Linked DNA regions of Caenorhabditis elegans. The protein of the gene in region 1 purifies or fractionates together with the protein of each later gene. This does not show direct contact. Each region holds a gene or a part of one and is shown on either strand. Other genes may lie near its edges. The genes, in order: ZK899.3 and tag-276.

Region 1 (12,515 bases):
CTTGGCGTACTGATTGGGGCAATTGATCCAGAAAATGGTTGTGGATCTTCTGGGAGCATTTTGTTTGTGATCAAAGTGTTCAATTTTCAATTGAGTTCCTTTTATGGATTGAATGTGGCTTGGGAACAGAACAACGTGTCTAAAAATAAATAATAATATTAATTATGCATTTCAAAAAACGCAACAAGGCGATTTTCTTGTTCTATGAATTTTTTTGACTAAAAAACTTGCACCTAAAACAATTTTGATACCTGCCCAATATACGACCTAAATTGTTTTGTTCATTTTCCCATATTTCTAATTACTGTTCAGAATAGTCATGAAATAATTATCTTTTAAAATTTGCAATTATTTCCATAGGTGTGCTTGCAAGTACGTTGTTGCCTATCATTTAATCGGTAAGATGAATCAACATAAACGATTTTCAGAAAATCGAGACAAATTTTAGAACAAGACATAAAATAAGATTACAGAAAAAAAAAATCACCGAAAGACTACTTTCTCAAGCTGAACACACGTGATATTCCGGAATTTACTTTTGGCACAAAATGGGCAACAATTTTGACTGCTTTGCACGTTCGAGAAAAGTATCATCAAATTTTGATTTCAAAGATGTTAAAAGAAACAGGCAAATCGTATTTATGTACGTTGGTTCTTGTTGTATGTAGAAAATATGTTCAAAGTGGAAACTTAGGATACAGAAAAAATTTAAAAATTTCGTATATGGCTCTTATTTTCTATTGTGTCTATAGAATAATTTGTAAACCTATTTTTCATTCTGGTTTTGATTTCAAAACATTCCTGCTCACTGTTGAATTCTTTCCAGTATTGAATTTTTGACCTAAATTCGATTTAGCGTGGCATGTCAGATAGCTATCAGTTTTCGAAATGCGGTGGAAACTTTTTGCGGTGTTTTCGAAAAAAAGAAGGGAGATACGGATCGTCCCGTATTTTGACATAACGCGTGAATTTAACTGCTAATCTGAGTTGAAAATCAGAAGAAACGACCTTCCATTTTAGTTGGACAGTTTGAAACTGTAGGTTACAAGAGCCGAAATCCGCGAAAACATGCCTTCGGATGGTGTAAGTCAATTTTATTTATTTCAATTTCTTTTATCAAAAAAACATTTTCAGAGAGAATGCGTTTCAATTCATATTGGTCAAGCTGGTGCTCAAATTGGAAATGCTTGCTGGGAGCTGTATTGTATTGAACATGGTCTTGATGAAGCTGGATTTTTAAAGGAGGAAGAGAAAAACAAGAAACAGCAATCACTTCAAGCATTTTTCTCGGAGTCGATGAACGGGAAGCATGTGCCACGAGCGATTTATGTGGATTTGGAACCAACTGTGCTGGATGAGATACGAAATGGGGTGTATGGTAACTTATTCCATCCTGATCAGATTATCAATGGTAAAGAAGATGCTGCCAACAACTATGCACGAGGGCACTACACTATTGGAAAAGAGCTCATTGATGTGGTCTTGGACAGAATTCGAAAACAGGTCGGTGACGGAATGGTTATGTCTGATTAAAAAATCATGAAGAACTTTTTCGGTATTCAGTGCCATCTTTTTAGTAGAAAATCTATTAAATGATTTGCTGAGTAGCTGCTAAAAAGTTGCGGCAGCGTTTCCTAGTGGCTGCTGAGTCTACCTGTATGTATACGTCAGGTTAAGTTTACTCGGCAACCAGTTTCTAACATTTTTTTCAAAAAACAAATCAAACTTTTTTCACTGAGAGTGGACCATGAGGAACATCTATTGAAATAGATATTAAATATTGGAAAGCAGATGAAAACTGCTGGAAAATATACACTTTTCTATTTTATTTCAAATATACTTATTATCCTTACTAGAAATTAAGAAAATTGCCCACAACTACAGAAATATCTTTGTTAGTGGTTTTCAATAACCTTCAGTCCAATTTTGTTGTCAAATAAAATATCGAAATAAAATGAACGGAGTGAGAAATGAAAAGAGGAATCAACAATAATCTGAATGACTAAAATACCATTAAGCATCTTCAGAGTGCAAATTTAAAAAGAGAAAACATACTGTAGAGTGTAATGTAGCAGGGTTAGAAAATAAAAATCATCAATTCAGACTGAGAACTGTGAGGGACTTCAAGGATTTCTCGTCTTCCACTCTTTCGGTGGAGGCACTGGATCTGGGTTCAGCTCTCTTCTAATGGAGCGACTTTCGGTGGAATTTGGAAAGAAAAGTAAATTGGAGTTCAGGTTTATTTTAGTACTTTGTACCACCAGACGTAAATCCGAACTTTATAGTGTGTATCCAGCACCACAAGTCTCCACGTCTGTCGTTGAGCCCTACAACTCTATTCTGACTACTCACACAACATTGGAGCTCTCCGACTGCTCTTTTATGGTGGACAACGAGGCGATTTACGACCTTTGTCGTCAAAAACTTCATGTTGAGGTGAGAGGGGAATTATTCACGATGCATTGAAGATAATAATCTCAGAGACCTTCCTACTCAAATCTCAACCGTCTTATCGCCCAAGTTGTGTCATCGATCACCGCTTCGCTAAGATTTGACGGAGCTTTGAATGTTGATTTAAACGAATTCCAGGTGAAAACAAAAAACTGAATATAGAGCGACGGTGACAATGTGATTTCAGACAAACCTGGTTCCATATCCAAGAATTCATTTTCCACTGGCTACCTACGCTCCAGTCATTTCAGCTGATAGGGTAAGAGTGCATCAGCCAATTTATTTCAATTATAATTTCAATTAATGAATCCGTTCTACATAAAATGACATGATGTAGTATTACAAGTTAAGCTTTTTTGCAAACGATAACCTCATTCAGGCTCACCACGAACCCTTGTCAGTTCAAGATATCACTCACATGTGTTTCGAAAAGGCTAATCAGATGGTGAAATGTGACCCAAGTGCTGGAAAATACATGGTAACTCAAATATAAATGACACTCAACTGCACATTAATATTTTCAGGCGGTCTGTTTGCTTTATCGCGGCGACGTCGTTCCTAAGGATGTCAACGCAGCTATTTCGTCAGTAAAGGCAAAACGAGGAATCAACTTTGTAGATTGGTAATGTTGCAATTTTAATGTACTGTGATGAATTACAAATGCCAGGTGTCCAACTGGATTCAAAGTCGGAATCAACTACCAAGCCCCAATAACAGTCGAGGGTGGAGATCTTGCAAAGGTGAAATACTTTTTACATGCAGTTTATGTTTCATTTCTTAGTATTTCTCAAAACTCAAATTGAAATGCTTTTTTTAGGTACACCGTGCTGTTTGCATGCTGTCCAATACCACAGCAATTGCTGAAGCGTGGGCTCGTCTCGACCACAAATTTGACCTAATGTATTCGAAGCGCGCATTTGTGCACTGGTTTGTAGGAGAAGGTACGTGACTACGGTAGGACAGAAACATTTTGAAGAAATCTTGGAAAATGATGCGAAAGAGAATACAATTTCCGTAGTAGATTCTTTATCATAATTGTAGGGACATTTGAAAACATCAAATAAAATTCAACGAGGCAAAATTTGATTTCAGGTATGGAGGAAGGAGAATTCATGGAAGCTCGTGATGATCTGGCTGCTCTCGAAAAAGATTATGCAGAGGTTTGTGAGGAAAAATCCCAAAATACAACTAATTTACAAGTGATTTACGGAATATTGTTTCAGGTGAGCAGAGACACTGCAGATTTGGAAGAAGAGAATGACGAGTTCTAAGAAAAATTATAAGAATGCAAATTAATACGTCAATATGAAAAAGTTTAACCATTTCAATAAAGTTTAATAACGGTTTTTCTAACTCTAATCATGCCCGACCTTTAAAACTTCAAAACAAAAAACTTACCGTATGTTTTAGTGTAGTATGCAATACAGCTGTCCGAATATGTTTGCGGTGCAGTTACAGACTGAAAATTAATATTTTATTACTTATTTTTTGATTAAAAAATGTCAATCATTAAATTAAAAATATAAGCTCAATGAAAATTTGTTGGTAATCATAACAAAAAATTATAAACCAGTAATTGGCACATTAATAAGCGAAAATTTGGTAGTACAAGTTAAATTCAATTTACAAATAATAAAAACCTTTCACATCTCTCAGTTTCAGTAACAGAAATTACTGATAAAATTAAAAATTAAAGAAAAATTGAATTGAGCGTTTTGTATCAAACATAAGGTTTTTGTGCATGAGTGTTTTTACTAATTTTTATATTTAAAATATCTGAACGAACTTTGTTTTAAAAAAAGATTTCGAACCAACGTATTACGATTTGTCTGTTTCTTTTAACGTCTTTGAAATCAAAATTTGATGACACTTTATACTTCGACTTAGCGAAAAATACAATATTAAATGTAAAATTCTTAACAAACAAAATTAGCATCATGGATACAGTAGAGACATTATCCGGAATACAAAAAACTTTTGCTAAAATATGTTGAAAAATTGGAACTACATAAAGCAGAAAATTTGAACAGAGAAAGTAACAAAAATATGCGTCACAAAGGGTTTTGTGTTTATGGGTGAGAAGGGTTCGGTTTGAAATCGTGAATTTATGCAAGGTAGACGTCCTTCAAGTGTCGGGTATAGTTCATGTTGTCTCAAAAGGTCGTCTGCTCTTCACTGTATTTTCTCTTTCTCAGATTTTCTGCTTCCCTCATCATTGCCATTTTGTCGTCTTTTCAGCTTTCGCTTCTTGTTCCGTTCACGCTCCGGGCAGTTATCTAATCCATCTGCTGAAACACAAAAAAGTACATTTTCGCTTTTACTTTTTTGTCTCTATTTTTTTCGAGAAAAATTGAATATCTCCAATTTGACTTACACGTGATGTCATGTTCAAACGTAGCTGCAGCTGGAACATTTGTCAAACGATTATTCGAACGTTCCTCCTTTTTCAATAAAGTCCGAGAAGACTTTGACTGCTTCTGATGTTTGCTGCTACCTTTATGATGTGCCGCATTTGGGATAGCCCACGCTATTCTTAAGATTTTTAGAATGTTATTTAGCCTCATCTTAAAATCACTACCTGGGTCTCGGAGTAGTTGATTTGCTGTCAGAAGTGAGCAGTTCTACAGTAAGTGGAACATCCACCATTGAACCTGAATTGCTGGAACCAGGTGAGGCCGTGAAAAACTCTTCTTCATCATCCTTTCTGTCAACACTGTCTTCCAAATTCGGAGCTGGAATTTGATTGAAATCGAACATAGGCATTGTTGTTTGACCATTAAAAGCCAATGGGTCCGGAGTAAGGACCACATCGTCTTCTTGTAGGTTAATCGAAGCAATAATTCTTGCCAGGTTAGTTGATGGCCGTGAAGACATTTTCACTTGATATGAACGAATTTTCAGATTGAAATCTCAAATTTGAAAAAAATAGGATCTGACAGCAGTAGGATGAACTTTTAACGGGCAAGCAACATGGCACCGCCTCTTTATTCTTGTACGAAATTTACATAGAAGAAATAAATTTCATCATACGAAAACTACAATAAAAAATTAAATTGTCTTACGCTGGATTGGAAGCACCTTCGTAGGTGAATACATTTCTGAAGTGTAATTTCAAATAAAAAAGCTAGTTGGCAAAAAATGATGATGTTTCGAACATCTAGAAAAAAAATTTCAGAAACCTGTGAAACCTCATTTTCGAATATTTTATTTATCGTTCATTTAGATTAGAATCAAGTTTTAAAATTCAGTATTAATAAGATTCGCAATTATACGGAAATTGATGCATATTATGAATATGAAAATTTTGATCAAATTTTTTTTCGAACGTATTTCCGGTAAGATTTATTAATAAAGGTCATTTAAATTTAATTTTAGATTTTTTTTCAATACCGTATATGCACTATTGCATGATTCTTCTATGAAAATGTGGACTCGATAAAAAGTTACTCTTTGCACATTTTGTTCAAAACTGAATTCATGGAAGATGAAGTGGATGATGGCCTGAAATTTTGGAATACTCAAAATACAAATCGCTTCGAACCTTACCGACAATTATGTTTCAAACATTAACTATGCTATTTATGTAGTCTTTTCTGCTCACATTATTTTCGATAACGTTTTTTCCAGTGATATTCTCTGTCAATCACACGTTTCAAAAAGATAACCACTCGATTTTTAGGCACTCTGAAAAATCATAAAATGTAAATTTAAGAGCAAATCCACATAATGTAGAGGATTTTGAAAAATAGTGTCCTCCGCACGTGACACACGTGAAAGTCAATTCTCGGCAATGCTGAAGAAAAGGGAGCAAATACTTTAAACGTTCTCGACATAGCACATTTTTTAACTTGAAAATTGATTGTGGGATACTGATATAAATTCGTACATTCCCTTCGAATAAAGCAATAATGTTCAGCCTAATCCAACCCTAATAAATGCCATTGCACCAGTTATTGTTTGCTTACAAAGGTCCCTCCTTGTTCTGGTCCAAGAGACGAACGGAACGGTCTCTCCTTCATCGTGCACACAAATATTTATTTGCCACGGAATAGCAACGTCCATTGACCATTTTGTCGTTCTCCTTTCTGACTAGCTGACGACTTTTTAACCCTTACCTATGTGCAACATAGTTATCAAATTGTGGTCTTTCATTCGTTTTGTTATCATTAAGTTGTATAATGATAACAAATTGTGCTTCTAGAAAATAGCTATTTAGTTGGGAAAACGTTAGTCGTGCTGGTTAATTTATTCATTTCGAACGGCCATTTTCAAAATTATGCTCAATCATTTTTTTTAAATTTAAAGTTTGTTAGCGAAATGTTATAATAGTAATAATAATAATATACTTTTTCAAAATATGATGGACATTCCTTCACGGCGGGAGAAGAATTCGTTTTTCTGTATAAGGATGGTGTCTTGCCACGTCATTTCCTCCATTAGCAAAGTAACCCATCCTCGTCGTATTTACTCCGTCGACCGTTCTCTTTCTACCTTTGCTAGCCATGTACTTGTTATGTTTACATTTGTGCCCATAGCCTGCATATCGATCGAGGTCAACTGGTCAAAGGACGCCCTATCACAAACAGTGCACACTTTCCTGTCTTGGCTGTTTACGGCGATGAGTCATGAGAAAAGCAACGCTATTCTTTTTTATAATGCATATTTGAATTTAAAACTTCAATTTGTTCAAAGTTGAAATATAATTATTTTCCACTTACTAGTAAATTGTGAAAGTTAAACAATAGTTTTCCTGCAGATCTCGAAAACTTTATCTTTTTTGCGTTTCTTTTGTTTATATATCTCATTCACGATTCTTATTTTGAAGATAATTTTTCCAGACATGGACTACTTGATGGACCGATACGTCTTTGACAACTTGCCATTTGATGTGGGGCCGGAGTCTCGCAAAATTTGGGGCCAACGGGCTCTACATGCTATTCAGGTAATTTGTTAACTAGCAAATCATTTATAGAAAATAATTTCAGTGGTTCGATTGGATTTGCAAGTACCAACCGGTCTCTACAATATACGAAAATCATACATCGTTTTTATTTGGTGAAATCTTGTTCTTCCTTCTTGCCGGACTCACGTTTGCACATGCCTGGCGATCTGGAACACGATTTGTACTTGTATGGTTTGGAATTCTTGTCCATGCACTCAACGTGGAAAACCTCTGCTACTGGATTCCGGATATGGACAATTTCTGGCAGGCCCAGGGAATTCTGACTTTCTTCGGTGCCCGCGCTCCTCTCTACATCCTCATCGGTATCTACCATATGTTCGACTACACTTCGTTTGTTCTTATGAGCAGGTAAGATATGTGACAGTTTTTAAATAATCAATAATTTCAAATTTCAGACTTCATCTGCCATGGTGGGCGTACGGCCCAGCAGTAGGTCTTGGAGCAGTAATGCTTGACATGCCATACGATATCATGGGAATCAAACTTGTCTGGTGGACGTGGCACGATACCGATCCAAACATTTTCGATAGAATGAACTGGGTACCTTGGAACTCGTATTACTTCCACGCATCGTTTGCTTGCTCGTTCACTTGGATTCTTATGTATTCTCGATATAAGCTAGTTGACAAAGAGTATGATTGGAGAAAGTGAGTTCAACTAAAGTAATCAAGTAAATAATCAAGTCATCAGAAATTTTCTAAGACCTGGTTTTTAGATTTAAGAAGTTTATATGAAAACTAGTCTAGCAATAGTTTGAAGAAAGAAGCCAAAGTGCTTCGTTGTTTGTATATATTTTAACGAATAATTTTTCCAGGCTTCCGAGAGAAATCCTTTGCATCGTGTTTGCTGGAATGGGAGCTTTTTGGCTGGGAACCATCCAATTTGCTCTTCTTTACCACCCACTTCATGACATTTTCAAGGTAGCCGGATTATCCGTCTTAAATTTCTGGAACGATAAATTTTCAGGTTCATTCCGAGTACACAACAATTGCATTTCTCTCCATCTATGCATTGATAGTTATTTTCGCGGATCGCAGGAACAAAAATGAAAATTCTCGTGTTGGAAACAAGTATTGGTTTGATGAACTTGCGGCGGCAATTGCCATTGAGTACCTTTTCTTCATGATTGCCGTTTTGATATCTGATCCAGTTAGTATTGTCAGTGATGGACTCCATCAACCAATTGGACCTTGCAATGAAACTCAGAAGGTTCAAACTCCGACTGGTCTTGTGCTTCAAAAGCAGAAGTATTTCTGTACAGACAACTACGATGAGAAGTACATCGATTTCCATTGTGTGCCAGGAGGACCACCGCAACAGGTAATATAAAATTTGAAGTTAGTTACGAATTCAAAACATTTTTTAGCCAGAACCAGGTGTGCCGTTGGAATGGTACGCGGTGTGTGGAACAGACTACGAGAACAGAGCAGAATACGTTTTCATCATTTGGTTCATCTGCATTCTCTACAGCTGTATTTGGTATCAAATCGCAGCTTGTTCTGGCGTCACTCCAAAAGATCCAGTTAAGCAACTCAAGAAACGTGTCTCCAGCCAAAAAAATACTGAATCTAAAAAGACCAAGTAATGAATCAAATTTTTAATTTTCTACTTATGTGTATTTCAAATGAACTTGTCATATTTTCATAATATACTTTTGGAACAAAATACAGCGAAGTGACAGTTTAAAAGACAACAATATATCAGATTTATGCACAAAGTGTTTTGAGCATGTTAGAATAGTTTGCAGTTTAATTTGATTAAAAAAAGGCTACCGATAAAGCCATAAACAAGAAAAATTAATATCTGCAGATATTGTAGACCAGCCAAAAAAACAAACCCCCTGTGTCAGAGAAGTTGAAGGTAAAAAATACGCGTGCTACGTTTTTTAAACATTATTTGTACATCAAAAAAAGGAAAATTTGTCAGGCCTATTCACTTCATCCATTGGGGAGTTCAAAGCTCAGATCAAATCGACTTTTGTTGAGTAATCAGGCAGCGTTTGAGCTTTGCTCGGTTTCTTTTCAATTTATTTTGTAACCGTAGCTATTTTCTGATCCATTTGGGGCTTGAGACGGCAAGAGGTTTTGTTCTTAATTCTTTCAAATCGATAGTTTTCATTTTCTTACATCGTTACATGATTTCATTTCTACGACCCAACATCATTAACTGGCCTGAAAAATAATATTCAAAACAGGACATTCCAGATTATTTGATACTTTATTAATATCTGTCTGTAATCGCTGAGCAACAACACTCAAATTTGAAATTGCTCTTTGATTTTCAATATCCGTCGGATTACATGCTCAAATATTTCTCAGCAAACTCGGCCACGAGGATAATGTGTCACGCTCTCACACTCTCTAACTGCCTCATTCCATGCATTTACGCGCACCTTGTCTTACTTTTCATTTTCAGTTATTGATTATATTTTTTAAATTCAGGTATGGAATCAATAAAAAGGTTTCATGGGATGGAGATGCTTCACAGTGCTGTGGAGCGAATGGATGCATTTGCAGAGAAGTATATGGTCAGTTTAAAGAAATGGTTTGAAAGTAGTTGCTGAGTTACATTGAAAAAATGCTGGCGCTTTCTAGGTAAATTGAGCTTTTGTTTTAAGAATTCTAAAGAATATTCATGCACGCACGCAGTTAGAAACAACTGAATCGTTTCAAAGATTGAATTTTTTTTGTAAATTCCTAGTTGCATTGATGTGAACAGCCTATGCTTAATATCTCAATGTTTATTTCTTTGTCTCTTTCAATTTCAGGCTGTTAGAAGCAAGTTGACATTAGGATTAATTGTTATGTGGGCGTTCGACTACTTCGGGAAACTTTTTGATTCCTACATCAAACGCATCTGCGGAATCAGGCATGGAGCTGTGGTATGTTCTTGAATTTTCAATATTGTTATATTACTTTTAAGAACTCATTAAATTTTTGTGAGAGAATAATTGCAGTTTTACTTTCCTCGGCGATGGTTAGAAGATGATGACGAAGTATTCGATGAAATAGCGGAGAACTTTGAATTGGATGACTCTTCAATAGATGAACAAAATCAAACAATTAATGCCAAAACAGATCACATGGAAGAATTTGAAGAATCTCTGGAGGACTGGGAATTCGCTTCGTTTGATAATATGGATGATTATGAAACTGACTCAGATGATGAGAATAAGTACATTATTGAAAAAATGCGCAGTCGTTACAGGGCTGCGTTGACAGATCCTCAACACATTGCTGCTTACAGGTACATTTTTATATTTGTTATTGATGTATTGTGAAACGTTTTGAAGAATAATGCGCATTTAATATGCATTAAAGGTAGAGTAGCGCCAGTGGGAGAATTGTTAAAAACTACTTCTATGGTACCAAAATTGCCACAAACTACAGTGAAATTTTTAATTTTTTTTTTATTAACTGGAGAAAAGTGACAATTACTGAGTTTTTCTCACTTTTTGAGAAAAAGCATAGCATCTTCGGGTCTGTACAGTGTTAGAATACTAATGTTCAAAACATAATTAGACCACAAAACTCGAAGGGATTTTTTTTGAACGACGATTTCAAAAAAAAAGAAAAATTGTCACGTTTTGAATTTCAATAATATTTTTTAAACATATCTTTGAAAAATTTGTCTATGATATTTGGTTATTTTTTAACTATAGGAGTGCTTTTTCAGTTTCACCAGTGGCTCTACACCACTTTTAATACAGATAATTTTATTTTTAATACCTTTACTAGAAAAGTTCCAACTTGCTATAAAATTAGACATTTATTTTTTTTTCATTCGCATAAACGGCAAAGACAGTGAAATATTTTTATGCGCTTTAACATTTTTGTTGAAGAAATCCCATAGATTTTATCCAAATCAAAAGAAAATCCGAACAAAATGTATTTTTAGAGCCAACGAAGTGAAGCGAATTTCCAATGAAATTCAATGTGATGAGATTTTGTTGGAAAACGGGCTCATTGATCCAACAGATTTTGGAAGATCACTTATGATTGAATTCTAATGTTCCGACACTGAAACTGTTGTTATGAAAACGGATCACATGGTTTTGTTTTTCTATTTTCATTTTCTCTATATTTATTCTGATTTTGTGTTTTCATTTTTGTTTAAAACCAATATAATTGCAAATAAATATTCTAATGTACAATTCCACATAGATTGGTCAAAAGGTCAACGATTTTATCACATTTTGGAGACTTGATGAGCTTTTTATTTTGGTCTTGATGGCACCGGAAATTTGAAGAAATATGACTAACACTGGCTGGTAGATTCGGTTGAAGAGCAACTGTAAAATACACAAATTGTACTGCAAAAAATTGATTCCATCAAATCATGCAGGTACATAGTGAAATATTGTGTTAGCAAATTGATCGTTAGCTTGCAACAGAGGATAACAATTGGAACAAGAGCATACGTTCGTGCGATAATAACATTCAAGATGAAATTATAACCGTGTCATCTCGAGCACTTGTTCCGCATCACTCGAGTCTTCGGAATCCGATCGTAAAACGTGGTTTATGGTGGCTGGCATGTATGGAGACTTGTGATCTTCCAGATCAGGCTCCATGAGAACTGCTCGAGGATCGTGCGGAGTCGGGACTAGCGGAGCATGTTTCTAAAAATTATATGACGACATTAGAAAACTATATTACGGCTTCAACATGTTTTTGCTCAAGCGCCAACTATTTCTGCAATTTATTTTTTTCGAAAAAATATTAATTCGGTGTTATAATATATTCCTTTTTACAAACTCCAATCTTGAAAACTTGGGAATGTTTCCAATTTAACCAATTGACACCACGAAGTTGTCAAGTCAAGCACATTTCAAATGCATGGAGAAATTTTGTTTTTCAAAATTTGCATGGATTCAAAATTCAGGAACTCACTGGATGCTCTATTTTATCCGGAAGTCTGCATATTGGCCAGATGACATATTTTGCAGTATCCTTATATCGCATTTTGATATACGCCGCTTTCTCTCTGTCCACTAAGCTATCCGTTTTTCTCGCGAGAAACTAAAAAACATTTATTACGGGCATTAAAACAAAAGATTATAACTTACTTGAAGACTAATGGCCCGTTTGAAAAGCGATGT
Region 2 (11,784 bases), on another chromosome or scaffold:
AAAAAATTCTTAGGCTTAACAATTTTTCGAAAAACCGGTTTTTTAAAATATTGTTCTGAAAATCGAAAATTTTTGAATTTTCAGCCAATTTTTTGAACAATTTTTTTCAATTCCTCTGAAGCTTCAAATCCAAAAATTGCAAAATTTAATTTTCAGTCATACTTCAAGTTTAAAATTTGAAAAATCTCATAAATTCCAAAAAAAAATCATACATTCCAAAAAAAAAAAATTGAAAATTTAATTTTTCTGGGCAAAACTCTCCAAAAAATTCCAATTTTCTCCCGATTGAGAAAATAAAAAAATTTTGGCCAAATTTTTTGAAAAAAAATGCAAAAAAATCGTTATAATCAAATTATTACTGGCAAAAAATTAACATTTGAAATTTCATAAAAATTCTTGACAAAATTCGAAAATTTTGAATTTCCCGCCAATTTTTTGAAAGTTATTTTAAATATGTCAACTAATAAAAATGATTTTTTTTTAAATTAAAATTTTCGCAATTTTTTTTGAACAAATTAAAAAAATGTTTTATAAAATTTCTGACTTTCACTTTCAACTTTTCGAAAAAATTTAAATTTCCCGCCAAATATTTGAATAAAAAATAAAAAATTCAGTTTTCCTGCGAAACTTTTAAATTTCAATTTTCAATTCCCACCAAAACTGAAAACATTTAATTTTTCGTTGAAATTTCCACTAAAATGTTTGAACTTTCGGCATAAGTTCCAAAAAACAAATCAAAAAAAAATTTTTTAATCCAATTTTATCCCAAATAAGAAAAAAATTAAATGTCGGAAACGTGCTAGTTCACGTGGTGTCAGAGTGTCTCATTTCGGCTTGATCTACGTAGATCTACAAAAAATGCGGGAATTGCTAAGAACGTGATGACGTCACATTTTTTGAGCAAAAAAAATCCCGCATTTTTGTAGATCAAACTGTAATGGGGCAGCCTGGCATCACGTGGCTAGTTGGGAAATATACAAAAAATTCTTTAAAAAATCGAAAAATTAAAAATTTAGCTTCTCGGCAAAACTCTCCAAAAAATTCCAATTTTCTCCCGGTTTAAAAAATAAAAAAAATTTTGACAAATTTTTTGAAATTTTTTTTTCAAAAATTCAACAAAAAATCAATAATTTCAGGCAAGGAGACAACGAGATCGAGCGTCAAAATAATCGATATCACATCGAAATTTGCTTCCCAAGCTCTGAAAAGTCGATAAAAGCTCTAAAAAACGCTACGGAAAGTGTAGATGTACGTCTTCCAGAAGGATTCCCAGATCACGCGATTCCCATCGATCTTCACATCCACGTGTGCAAATATTTCGCGTATCACGGCTTCTGCCACGCTCGGAACACTGAAAAAGGATGTAAACTGCTCCATGACGTGGATACTGCTATCGATTTACAGAGGATTAAGGAGAATAAGAAGGCGTTCAAACGAAAACGGAGATATAATAATGTGATTGCTGAATCGGTTGCCGAGAAGACGGGCACCGATGAGGAGGCATGGAAGAACGCGAAATTTGAGCAGAATTTGTTGACTCGAGACTTTCGGGAGCTCAAGAGAAATGTGGTTACAGGGCTGCATCGGGCTGGAGTTGATGCTTTTATGACGGCTTTTGCGGTGATTTATCAGCAGAGAAGAACCCTGATGGCTGATAATTCAGTTGATTTGAAGGTGCTTTTTGAAGAGAAGCATTAACAAAGATTGTTTTTAAAGTCATAACATCTATAGGAAATTAGCCGAAAAATTCGAAAAATTTTGTGCTTTTTGAAGAATAAAAGTTTAAAAATTTATAGGAAATTAGTCGCCGTAAAATTCGAATAAATTCAGCGATTCTGAATTTTTTTAGTACTGGATTTGCTTAACTTTTTAAAAAAATTTAAAGATTTTCCCCGAAATCGCCTGAAATGTTCATTTCTTAAAAATCTCAATTTCTGAAAATTTGAAATAATTCGGAATTAAAAAATATTATAAATTTTTGATTATTCCTAAAAATTTTAAAAAAATTAATATCTGAAATTCCCTTAAAATTCCTAAAAAATTTCAGAAAATTTTAAATATTTCTAAATTTTGAAAAATTCCTTTTAAATATTATACATTTTTGAGGCTTCCAATAATTTCACAAAATTAAAAAAAAGACAATTTTTGAAATTCTCTAAAAATTCAAAAAAAATTTCAGAAAATTTGAAATAATTCTAAATTTTGAAAAATCCCTTTCAAACACTTTTTTAAATTAATAATTTCTTAAAATTTATAGAAAGTCTGATATTTTTCGGAAATTCCAAAGTTTTCAGAAAATCCCAAAAATTTACAGAAAATTTCAGAAAATTTTAAATAATTCTGAGATTTAAAAAAATCCCTTTCAAACATTTTTCTCAAAATTTAGTTGTTTCTAAAAAATTTTTAGATCGTCTGAAATTCTTCGGATATTCCAAAAAATGTTAGAAATTCTCTGAAAATTCCAAAAAAATTTCTGAAATTAAAAAAAATCCCTTTTAAATATTATTAAATTTTTGATGATTCTTAAATCTTAAAAATTTTCGGATAATATTATAAATGTTGAAAATTTATGGAGAGTCGGAAATATTTATGAGACATGATTTTTAATTTTAAAAAATCTTGAAAATTATAATATTTACAAAAAAAAATTTAAAAATCGAATTCTTTCAATTTTCAGTTCCTAAACCGCGTTCCACTGTCCGCCAAAGATAAGCCATTGCATCTTCGCCACCGACCGGTCCCAGTTCCACAATCCGAGCAAATTGATGCTCATTTGGAGGCAATGGTGGAGATCAACAAGCAACGGGACTATATTCGAATGAATGCAGCCGCTACAGTTATCAAAAGTGTTCAGAAAGAGGATACACCTTGTGAAGATTGAATAATTTATTTTTGAATTTTGATTTTTTTTGTTGTTGTTGTTGTTATTTCTGGTACGTTAAATCCCCATCTAAATACAATTTTTTGGAAATTTGAAAATTTCCACTTTTTCTCGGTTATTGATGTTCCCCCACCTGATCTTGATTGTTAAATTCACATTGTTTCGATTTCAATCCATTTTTTTAAATTTTTGTTGTTGTTTCCAACCTATTTTTTTCTGAAAAATAGACTTATTTTGAGTTCTTTGTATATTTTAACCGACAAATTCGCCCTGGATATTCGCCGTTTTTTGAAAATTCAAAAATTTCGGAAATTTTGAAAAATCTGACAGTTTTTTTTCAATTTTTAATTTCGAAAAAGTCCAAAAACTCTAAAAAATGCCAAAATATAAGAATTTATGAAAATTCCAAAATTTTCGAATTAATTTTGGAAATTTCTGTTAGGATTAAAATAACTAGTTAACGTTTCTCAAAATTCTGAAATTTTGAAATTTCTGAAAAAAATTTTAAAACTATTGAAAAATTAGATAGCTCAAATTTTTAAAAAATTCCGAAATCGCCTGAAATTTAGCTTTAAAATCTCAATTTCTAAAAATTCCAAAAAAAAATGTAGAAGAATGTGATAATTTCTGATAAATATAAAAATTTGAAATTCGCTGAAAATTTCTTATTTTTCCTATGTATGCGCAGTTTTTCTTCAGAAATAAATACAATTGCTATCAAAGAAAAAAAATAAAATGTAACTTTTTTTCGGGATTTTTAAAATCCGAAAAGTTCCAAAAACACATTTGAAATAATATAAATTCTCTGAAAAAAGGTGGAGTGAGGCTGTCCCATTACGGTTTGATCTACGAAAAATGCGGGATTTTTTTACCCAGAAAAATGTGACGTCAGCACGTTCTTAACCATGCGAAATCAGATTGAAAACTCTGCGTCTCAACTCCCGCGCATTTTGTAGATCTACATAGATCAAACCGACACCACGTGTAAAAACCCATAAAAATAAAAATTTTCAGAAAACACCAAAAGCTACAAAAACGGACAATTCCCAAAGAACCAAATTCGAAAAGCCTTTAGAAAAATCAGAAAATGTATAAAATTTCTGAAAGTTCCAAAAAACTTCTTTAAAATGCTGAAACAATTTCGGAAGATTCCAAAAAAAATACCTGAAAACCCATAATTGCAGAAATTTTGAAAAAGTACAAAAAAAAGTAAAATGTAATATTAGGTTGGTCAAAAAGTCTTTGCAAAATTCGTATGTTTCTTCATTTCTCAGCGTTAACTCGTTATTTTCCTATTCTGTTTTTTTATTTGCATAGTACGTAATGTGCATGTTTAATACATTTGAAAAAACTTTTGGGTGTTGTTCAAAATGACCGAGAATTTGCTCGCCGAAGGTCACACCCTCCGAGGGGTTTTCTGTATGGGTTCCCCCAAGGCTGCAATTGCAACGAAGCTCGTGGTAACATGTGTGCAGTGTTAGGCAATAATTCTGTCACCTATAATACCATAAAGTTTTGGTTCGAAAAGTTCACGAAAAAGAACTACGATCTCGATGATGAACCAAGATCCGGTCGGTCTCGTTTGGCTATCAATAAGGATAATTCGAGAGCCCTGGAAGATGATCCAAGAGCAACGAACCGTGAACTTTCTGCGACTCTCAAGCATCTCCAAAGAACCATCATCAACCATCTCCGCGAAACCGGAAGGGTAGAAAAGTTCGGTCATCTCGTTCCTCACAATTTGTCCGATTCTCAGAAAAATTGTTTTGTGACCTCTCTTTTTCGCTGCTCACTAGGAAACGAACAACAGACTGGGTATAGGATATCACTACTGGAGATGAGAAATGGGTATTGCATGTTAACTATACCAGAAAGAAACAGTGGGTCCCGGTCGAGGAAACCGTGAAACCTGACCTCAAAGGGGAACTTCAAGAGAAAAAGTGCTTCTCTAAATTTGGTGGGACAGTAAGGGTGTAATTTTCCGAGGACTTTTTCCAGACTCCGTTACAATCAACGCTGGCCTATACTCTATTCAATTGGAAAAGATGGTCCGTGCTCATCGATTACATCACCCTAGAGAATCAAAATTTAGGCTGCTCTATGACAACGCAAGACCGCATACAACTTTGAGGACCCGCCAGAAGCTCCAGACACTCGGAATCCAAGTTTTGTCTCACCCACCGCATTCGCCGGACTTGACTCCTACTGACTACCATTTGTTCCGCTCTCTCCAGAATCACCTTACCGGGCAGAAGTTTCATGATTGAAAGATCGTCGAAACGTGGTGGGACGACTTCTTTGCCTCCTAATCTCAGGAGTTCTGTGCGGAGGGTATTGCTCAACCTTCGTTGGGTTGGCAAGAAGTCATATACACTAATGGTGAATATATTACCCATTGAATCTCGTTCGCTTTGAATAAATACTCTCTCCAAAAAAAATTCAAAAAGTTGCAAAGACATTTTGACCAACCTAATAATTTATGCAAATTCCAAATTTTCTAAATACTCCTTCTTTAAACATTCCGTTAGAATTAAAGTATCCAATTAAAATTTCTGAAAATTCCAATATTTTTAAAAACTAAAATCTGAAATCCCCTAAATTTTGACAACTTTTTTCCATGTTCCTCAGGGAGAACCCTCCCTTATTTCTCAAACAAAAATGTACGTATGTACCAAATTTATATATTCACAATCGTAAACCAATCAATAACCATTGTTTCCTTCTGCTTTCCCATTGCCACGTTGCATAGCCCATTCCCCCCCGCCCATATATCGATTTTTTGTTGTTGCCAAATTGCAGCGTCCTACAGGGTTAGGTCTAGGTTAGTGTCATTCTTAACCACATATCTCAGTTCTTCTCTCACCTTTTATTTAACTCATTCTAAATGCCATCTCACACCAAGCCGGTCTCCAATGCTGCTCTCCCAAGAGTCCCAGCTCCACTGAGCCCTGCTCAACAAGTCAGAAAATACACTGACTACTTGCTCAAAGAGCACAACCGGTACTATGCACTGGAGTGTCTTCTCTTCCTCGACTGCCCGATTCGAGTATTCCGGGAATGCCGTACCGAGCAAATTGTCAAGAGCCAGTATGATGGACGGTATGAGTACCAGTACCCAGTCAACTTGTTGCTCCAGAAGCTTCGTCGTCTCGCTGCTCAGGAGTTGGAGCAGGATGTTGTGGAGCAAAAGATGCGGGAGGCTTCGAAGAACAAGGTGCTCTTCGCCAATGTGCTCAATATTTTTGCGGATTTGCAAAAGGAAGCGGAAAATTTCTCCAAGGTTAGTTTTTGTTGTTATTTTAAAATTTTGCTGAGAACTTTTTAATTTTCTGAAAACGAACTCAATTTTTAAAATAATAAAATAATTTTCGATTATTTTTGTACTTAAAATACCTACATATTAAGTTAAATTGCAATTTAAAAAAATTTCAAAATAAAAAATCTACACCGATTTTGCGCCGTAAATTTGGCCTGAAAAATAAAAATAAAATTTCGCACCAAATTAAATTTAAAAAAAAATTTCTAAACCTGACCAAACCACCTAAACTAATACTTTCCAGACTACAAAACAATCATCCACGTCACCATCAAGCTCCTCTTCATCCGAAGAATCGTCGGCTTCTTCCTCCCCAGTCGTATAATTTTACCAAACTTATTATATTCGTTGCCAATTTTTCATAATCTGTCATTATTTTCTTGTGTTTTCAACTAATTTTCCCTCATTTTTATTATCCAGTTTTTCAAAAAAACTAATCCCGATTGCAATGTTTCTTGTCAATTAAAACTGTACATCACAGATAAAACTTCAATTCAGTTTACTTATGTTTGCAAAAATATTCAGGCTTTAGGTTTTTAAGCTTTCAGGCTTGGACCGTTGAGCCCAGACTTGGATGCTAACATTTGAATTTAGATTTTCAGAATTATGGCTTTTGCTTAGGCGTAGGCTTGGGCTTAGGCATAAGCTTGGCGTCAGCTCTGAAAAAACATAGTCTGAAAATGCTCTCATTATCTACACACTCCAATTTTTCAGTGTTAAATAAATAAAAATTTGACTCCTAACTTTTTACATTTTTATAGTTTTATTAAAGAACTTGTTATTGTGAATCGAATGCGTTATGAATTATTGCAAAATCTTTGTTTGGCTTTATAGAGCAGTCTGAAAATGCTCTCATTATCCTAGGCCTAGGCTTAGGCTTAGGCTTAGTCTTAGACTTGGGCATAGGCTTAGGCTTAGGCTTAGGTGTAGTCTTAGGTGTAGGCTTAGGCTTAGGGTTAGGCTTAGGCTTAGGCTTAGTTTTCCAAGTTTTTGTATTAGGCTGTTTTTAAATTAAACTGTTTGAAAACATGTTCATTAGCTAAAAAAATATTTAAAAAATATAGAATTGGCACAAATATTCGAAAAAAAAAACAAAAATCAATAATTAAGCCTAATAGACCACAGGCTTCCGAATACAACATAGATAACTGTCGGTAGTGGAAGATGGTAGACACGTGTAGCCGAGTGGGCAGCTGGAATTATTTTAAAATATCGATTTTTGAACGTTAAACGTTTTCAACAATATATGTATGTTAGAATTTTTTTAATTCCGATTTAAAAAAAAATTTTAAAAAATTGGATAAAGATAATAAGATAATACTGATTTTTAGAGTTTCAAAAAACAATCGAAAAAAATTTTTTATTTTTTATTTTTCTGGAACTCACTCCAACGTAAACAGTGATAGACAACGCTGCACATCTTGATTAACATTTTTCGACGGCATATATGAAAATGGGCATGTCGGCTGCGCAATCACTTCTTCCTCTTCAATCGGCTTCTCAGTAGTTGTAGTAGTTGATGACGTCATAAACGTAAATGGCCCAATCATTGGAATCTGTGGTGGAAGGATTCGGTTCATTTGAATAGTACAACACACATAGACATCATCAATATCAGATTCTTGACACGAATATCCTGATCGAAGAATACACGGATCTCCGATATGATCACAAATGTATGGGAAGCCGTTTTCCATGAGTGGACGGGCTTCAGGGTCTTGGCAGTTTGGACTGTAATAAATATTAAGATATGATTAAGATACCTTTGATGGTTTAAAAGTAAAGTAACGCCAGTGGGGATTGTGTCTAAATACACTTAAAATTATTTCAAATGACCAAATATCATTAACAAACAGTCCAAAAATTTTTAGATTTTTCATTATTCCCGGTCAGTTTTGGAAAATTGCAAACATTTTGAAAAATATGAGCCTTTGAGGAAATCCAAAGCAATTTCGCATGTTCCAACCCCTACAATTTTTTAATACAAATAATTAAAAAAAAATTACAGTATAAAAAATGTAGAAAAAAATTTTTTTTTGGTTGACTTCCAAAATTATGAGTGGCAAAAACTGAGTAATTGTCACTTTTTGATAATAAATAAAAAAATTTCAAAAATTTTTTGAAATTTTTTAAAATGATATTCGATCATTTTGACACCAATGGAGTAGTTTTAAACACTTTCCCCTCTGGCGCTACTTTGCCTTTAATTAAGCAACCTACACAGATTCAAAAGGGTATGGTTCTGCAGTAGTTGTGGCTATGGTTATGGGAGCCTTCATAGTAGTTGTAGTGTAGTAGAATGGAGGGGGTAGAAGGGTTTTACGGCTGTTGCCGACTGAAATTTTTTTTTTTCTTGAATTTTAGTTTTTATAGGTTTAAGCAATAAAATACTCACGTCGATTTTTATACCGCTTACAGCAAATATGGGCGGTCTTCTCCTTGTTCAGCTCACAAAATGCTCCTTGTGAGCACGCCGGAAAAGCTGGGTCACATTTTTCACCGGTTCTGGAATAAGAATCAATACTGGGATTTTTTTGTAATTGAGTCATAAGCATTTCTACAGTAATCTAGACAATCAAGTACATTTGAAATTTTAAAAAAACTCGAGGAAATAAAATTTTTGGAAGTTTTTTTTGCTCTAAATGACATAAAATAGTTTCAATATACCGAATGTAACTGTAGAAAAATTCAATAGAAGCACCTAATAAAAAAATTTCGAATTTGTTAAAATGATTTTTCAATTATTCAACAATTTAAAAAACGGCCGAAATATATGGTTTGCGCGGGAATTCAAATTTAATTCGGCCGTTTCTTAGATTTTTTAAAAATTGACGAAAAATCATTTTAAAAAATTAGAAAATTTATTTAAAAATTTTCCAGATATATTTGGTCATTACGGCTCCATTTTCTGGCATTTGAATAGTTTTTAGTGTTATAAATCAAATATTTTTGCAAAATTGAAAAAAAATCGTTAAAAATTTAGAAAAATTTAGAGAAATTCCATAAATTTTTCTACAGTTATACTCGGTATATTAAGGCTATTTTCTGGATGATAAACACTGAATTAAATTTTTTGATAATTTTTGACAAACGGAAACTGAGCTACAGTACCCCAACAGTACACTATACAGTATACAGTACTACAGTACAATGTAGTAACTTACCCATTCTCCCCATTCCTACAAACCATCTCAATTCTTGAACCGAATGATTCCTCGGATGGACAACACCACATCTCATTCTGAATTTCCATGCACTTTTCATTTCTCAAACATCCGGCTGCGCACACACTTCTCGCAAACACTCCTGACGGGCATTGGGCTAACGAACAACATACACGAAGACCCGTCGGGGTTAGCGAACATTCGTAGCTGGAAATTTGAAATTTGCGGTGCAATTTTAGTTTAGAAGTTCTGAAAATGTTTAAAAATTTTTGTGAAATTTCAACTTTAATTTTCAAAAAATCAAAAAATTGATTCCAAGTTTTAGATGTTTTTCGGAAAGTTTCGAGCAAAAAAAATTAGCTCCTGGCTATTTTAAGAGCATGGCTTGAGCTGTAAAATTCACTTACCCCATCCCACATGGCTTCTTGTTACAGTCCCTCGGCACCAATCCATTCATCAAAATTTGACTTCCAACACCACAAATATCGTCAGAACTTTGACAGCATACCTCTACGTTACTGGTGCGGAATTTTGCGCAAACTCTGAAAATATAGAATTTGAAAAAAAAATTTTCGAATTTAATTTTTTTAAATTAGTTGAAATGTTAAATTTAAAGCATCATACATACAATTTTGCCAATTTTTTTCACAAAATTTTCGGCAAAAAAGCTTTTGTGGTGGGACCCAAAAATTCGAAATATTATTTAACGTTTGATTTAAAAATTTTTTTCATATTATGATATTTTGTTTGAATTCGGGGTACCCCGAAATAAATCTGAATTTTTACTTTTTTTCTATAACAGTTTCCAGGAAAATATCGGTTCTGAAACTTATCGTGGTGGGACCCAAAATGTTCAAATGTTAAAAAAATTTAATTTGTGATACAAACAGTTTTATGCTTTTGTTCAAATTTACAAAATCAAAATCTTCAATATTATGTGAACTTTCTGAAAAATCTAAAAAAATTTGAAATGTTCAAAAATAATTTTTTTGGGCACTAAAAATTTTTCTCCAGTTTTTTGGTGCAAAAATTGTAAATTTCGAGTTTAGGTAACATTTTCGTTTAAAAATAAATTTTTTAATTTTTAAAACGCAGTCCAAAACTAACCCCTGAACACAATCCTTGCACAAAACCAGAGATTTCCCATCATGTGCAATAATTGGATGGGATTTCGGACAGATTTGGGAGGAGTCTAGTGACGTCATCAGTGATGACGTGGATTTTTGCATCGGCTTTTCCTTTGGGAACGGTGCAGATTTGGAGAGTTTTAATTGTGATGTTATCGGGAAACTTCTGTAAAAATATGGATTTATTTTATTTGTAGTTATAGTTTTTATTTTAGAATGGTCTTCTTCTCCCAGAAAACCAAGAAGTGGGCGGAGCTTAAAATCACCAACTTTTCAATGCTCCTGTTTGAGCAGCATATCGACATTCCATCCTGACTACTTGATACACAAAATGATCCATCTGGGCAGTTATTCTTACGTTTTGGAAGACATGGAAAGCCGGTAGACATCCTGAAGTTTGAGTTCAAATATTTTTGGCGCGAAATTCAAAATTTCAGATTTTTAGCAACTTTGGCGCGACTTTCAGTTTTTGAATCTTTAAAATAGTTGGGGCAAGCTTCAAGTTTTAATTTTTTTGATATAATTTTTTTTTTTGATAATTTTGACAGAAATTTTAAAATTTCAATTTTCGCCAAATTTAGATATTTCAAAAATATCAACAAAAATAATTGGCGCCCAATTTAAATATTAAAAGAAATTTCAAAAAATGGTGCTAAATTTAATTTTTTAGAAATTGCAAAAAAAATTTAGCGCCAATTTTAAATATTAAAAAAATTTCAGAACAATTTTTGCGCCAATTTTAAATAATTCAAAAATATCAACAAAAAAAGTTGGCGCCAAATTTAAATATTTAAAAACTTGCAAAACAAATTTGGCGCCAATTTTAAATATTTAAAAAAAATTTTAAAAAGTGGCGCCAGATTTAAATATTTTAAAAATTTTAAAACATTGTGACGTCAAATTAAATTATTTAAAAATTGCAAAACAATTTTGGCGCCAAACTTAAATATTCCAAAAACTTCAAAAAAAATTGGCGCCAATTTTAAATATTTGAAAACATTTAAAAACAATTTGGCGGTAAAATAAAATTATTTGTTTTCAAAAAACAATATATAATCTGCGAAGTTTAACACAAAATTCAAAAAAAAATTTCCTCACCTATAAGCCGGATGCCTGCACTGCGGTGGCGGTACACAACATATACCCCTATGACAAAATGCTCCAAGAGGACATAAGCTTGCACACGTCTTCACGTGCTCCGTATCCGTTAGTGGAAGCTGTCCAACAGGGCAAAGATCCTTCAGATACTGATAAGGAGAAGCTAGGGCTTCAGAATTGGCAGAGGTGATAAGATTT

The links.
Region 2: the proteins of ZK899.3 (region 1) and tag-276 fractionate together in Caenorhabditis elegans (co-fractionation; one large-scale study listed by BioGRID). This does not show direct contact.

The regions. Positions count from the first base shown.
Region 1 is NC_003284.9:9,446,769-9,459,283, reverse strand, and holds ZK899.3 (uncharacterized protein), read right to left. Parts: upstream 6,137-12,515; 5' UTR 5,998-6,136; intron 5,953-5,997; 5' UTR 5,326-5,952; coding exon 5,030-5,325; intron 4,984-5,029; coding exon 4,826-4,983; intron 4,740-4,825; coding exon 4,624-4,739; 3' UTR 4,308-4,623; downstream 1-4,307. Other genes in the region: tba-8 (Tubulin alpha-8 chain), read left to right, coding at 1,069-1,083, 1,135-1,503, 2,104-2,237, 2,286-2,436, 2,482-2,589, 2,639-2,710, 2,831-2,929, 2,976-3,073 and 4 more; ZK899.2 (DUF7802 domain-containing protein), read left to right, coding at 7,292-7,393, 7,437-7,762, 7,810-8,061, 8,229-8,334, 8,381-8,734, 8,781-8,999; ZK899.7 (RNA-directed DNA methylation 4), read left to right, coding at 9,885-9,941, 10,182-10,295, 10,371-10,660, 11,312-11,423; ZK899.1 (uncharacterized protein), read right to left, coding at 11,672-11,705, 11,872-12,035, 12,307-12,435, 12,483-12,515.
Region 2 is NC_003280.10:12,243,060-12,254,843, reverse strand, and holds tag-276 (uncharacterized protein), read left to right. Parts: upstream 1-5,701; 5' UTR 5,702-5,765; coding exon 5,766-6,161; intron 6,162-6,441; coding exon 6,442-6,522; 3' UTR 6,523-6,719; downstream 6,720-11,784. Other genes in the region: parn-2 (Target of EGR1 protein 1), read left to right, coding at 1,137-1,674, 2,678-2,881; Y57A10A.24 (EB domain-containing protein), read right to left, coding at 7,309-7,390, 7,584-7,928, 8,418-8,532, 8,593-8,702, 9,362-9,568, 9,769-9,903, 10,469-10,654, 10,759-10,878 and 1 more.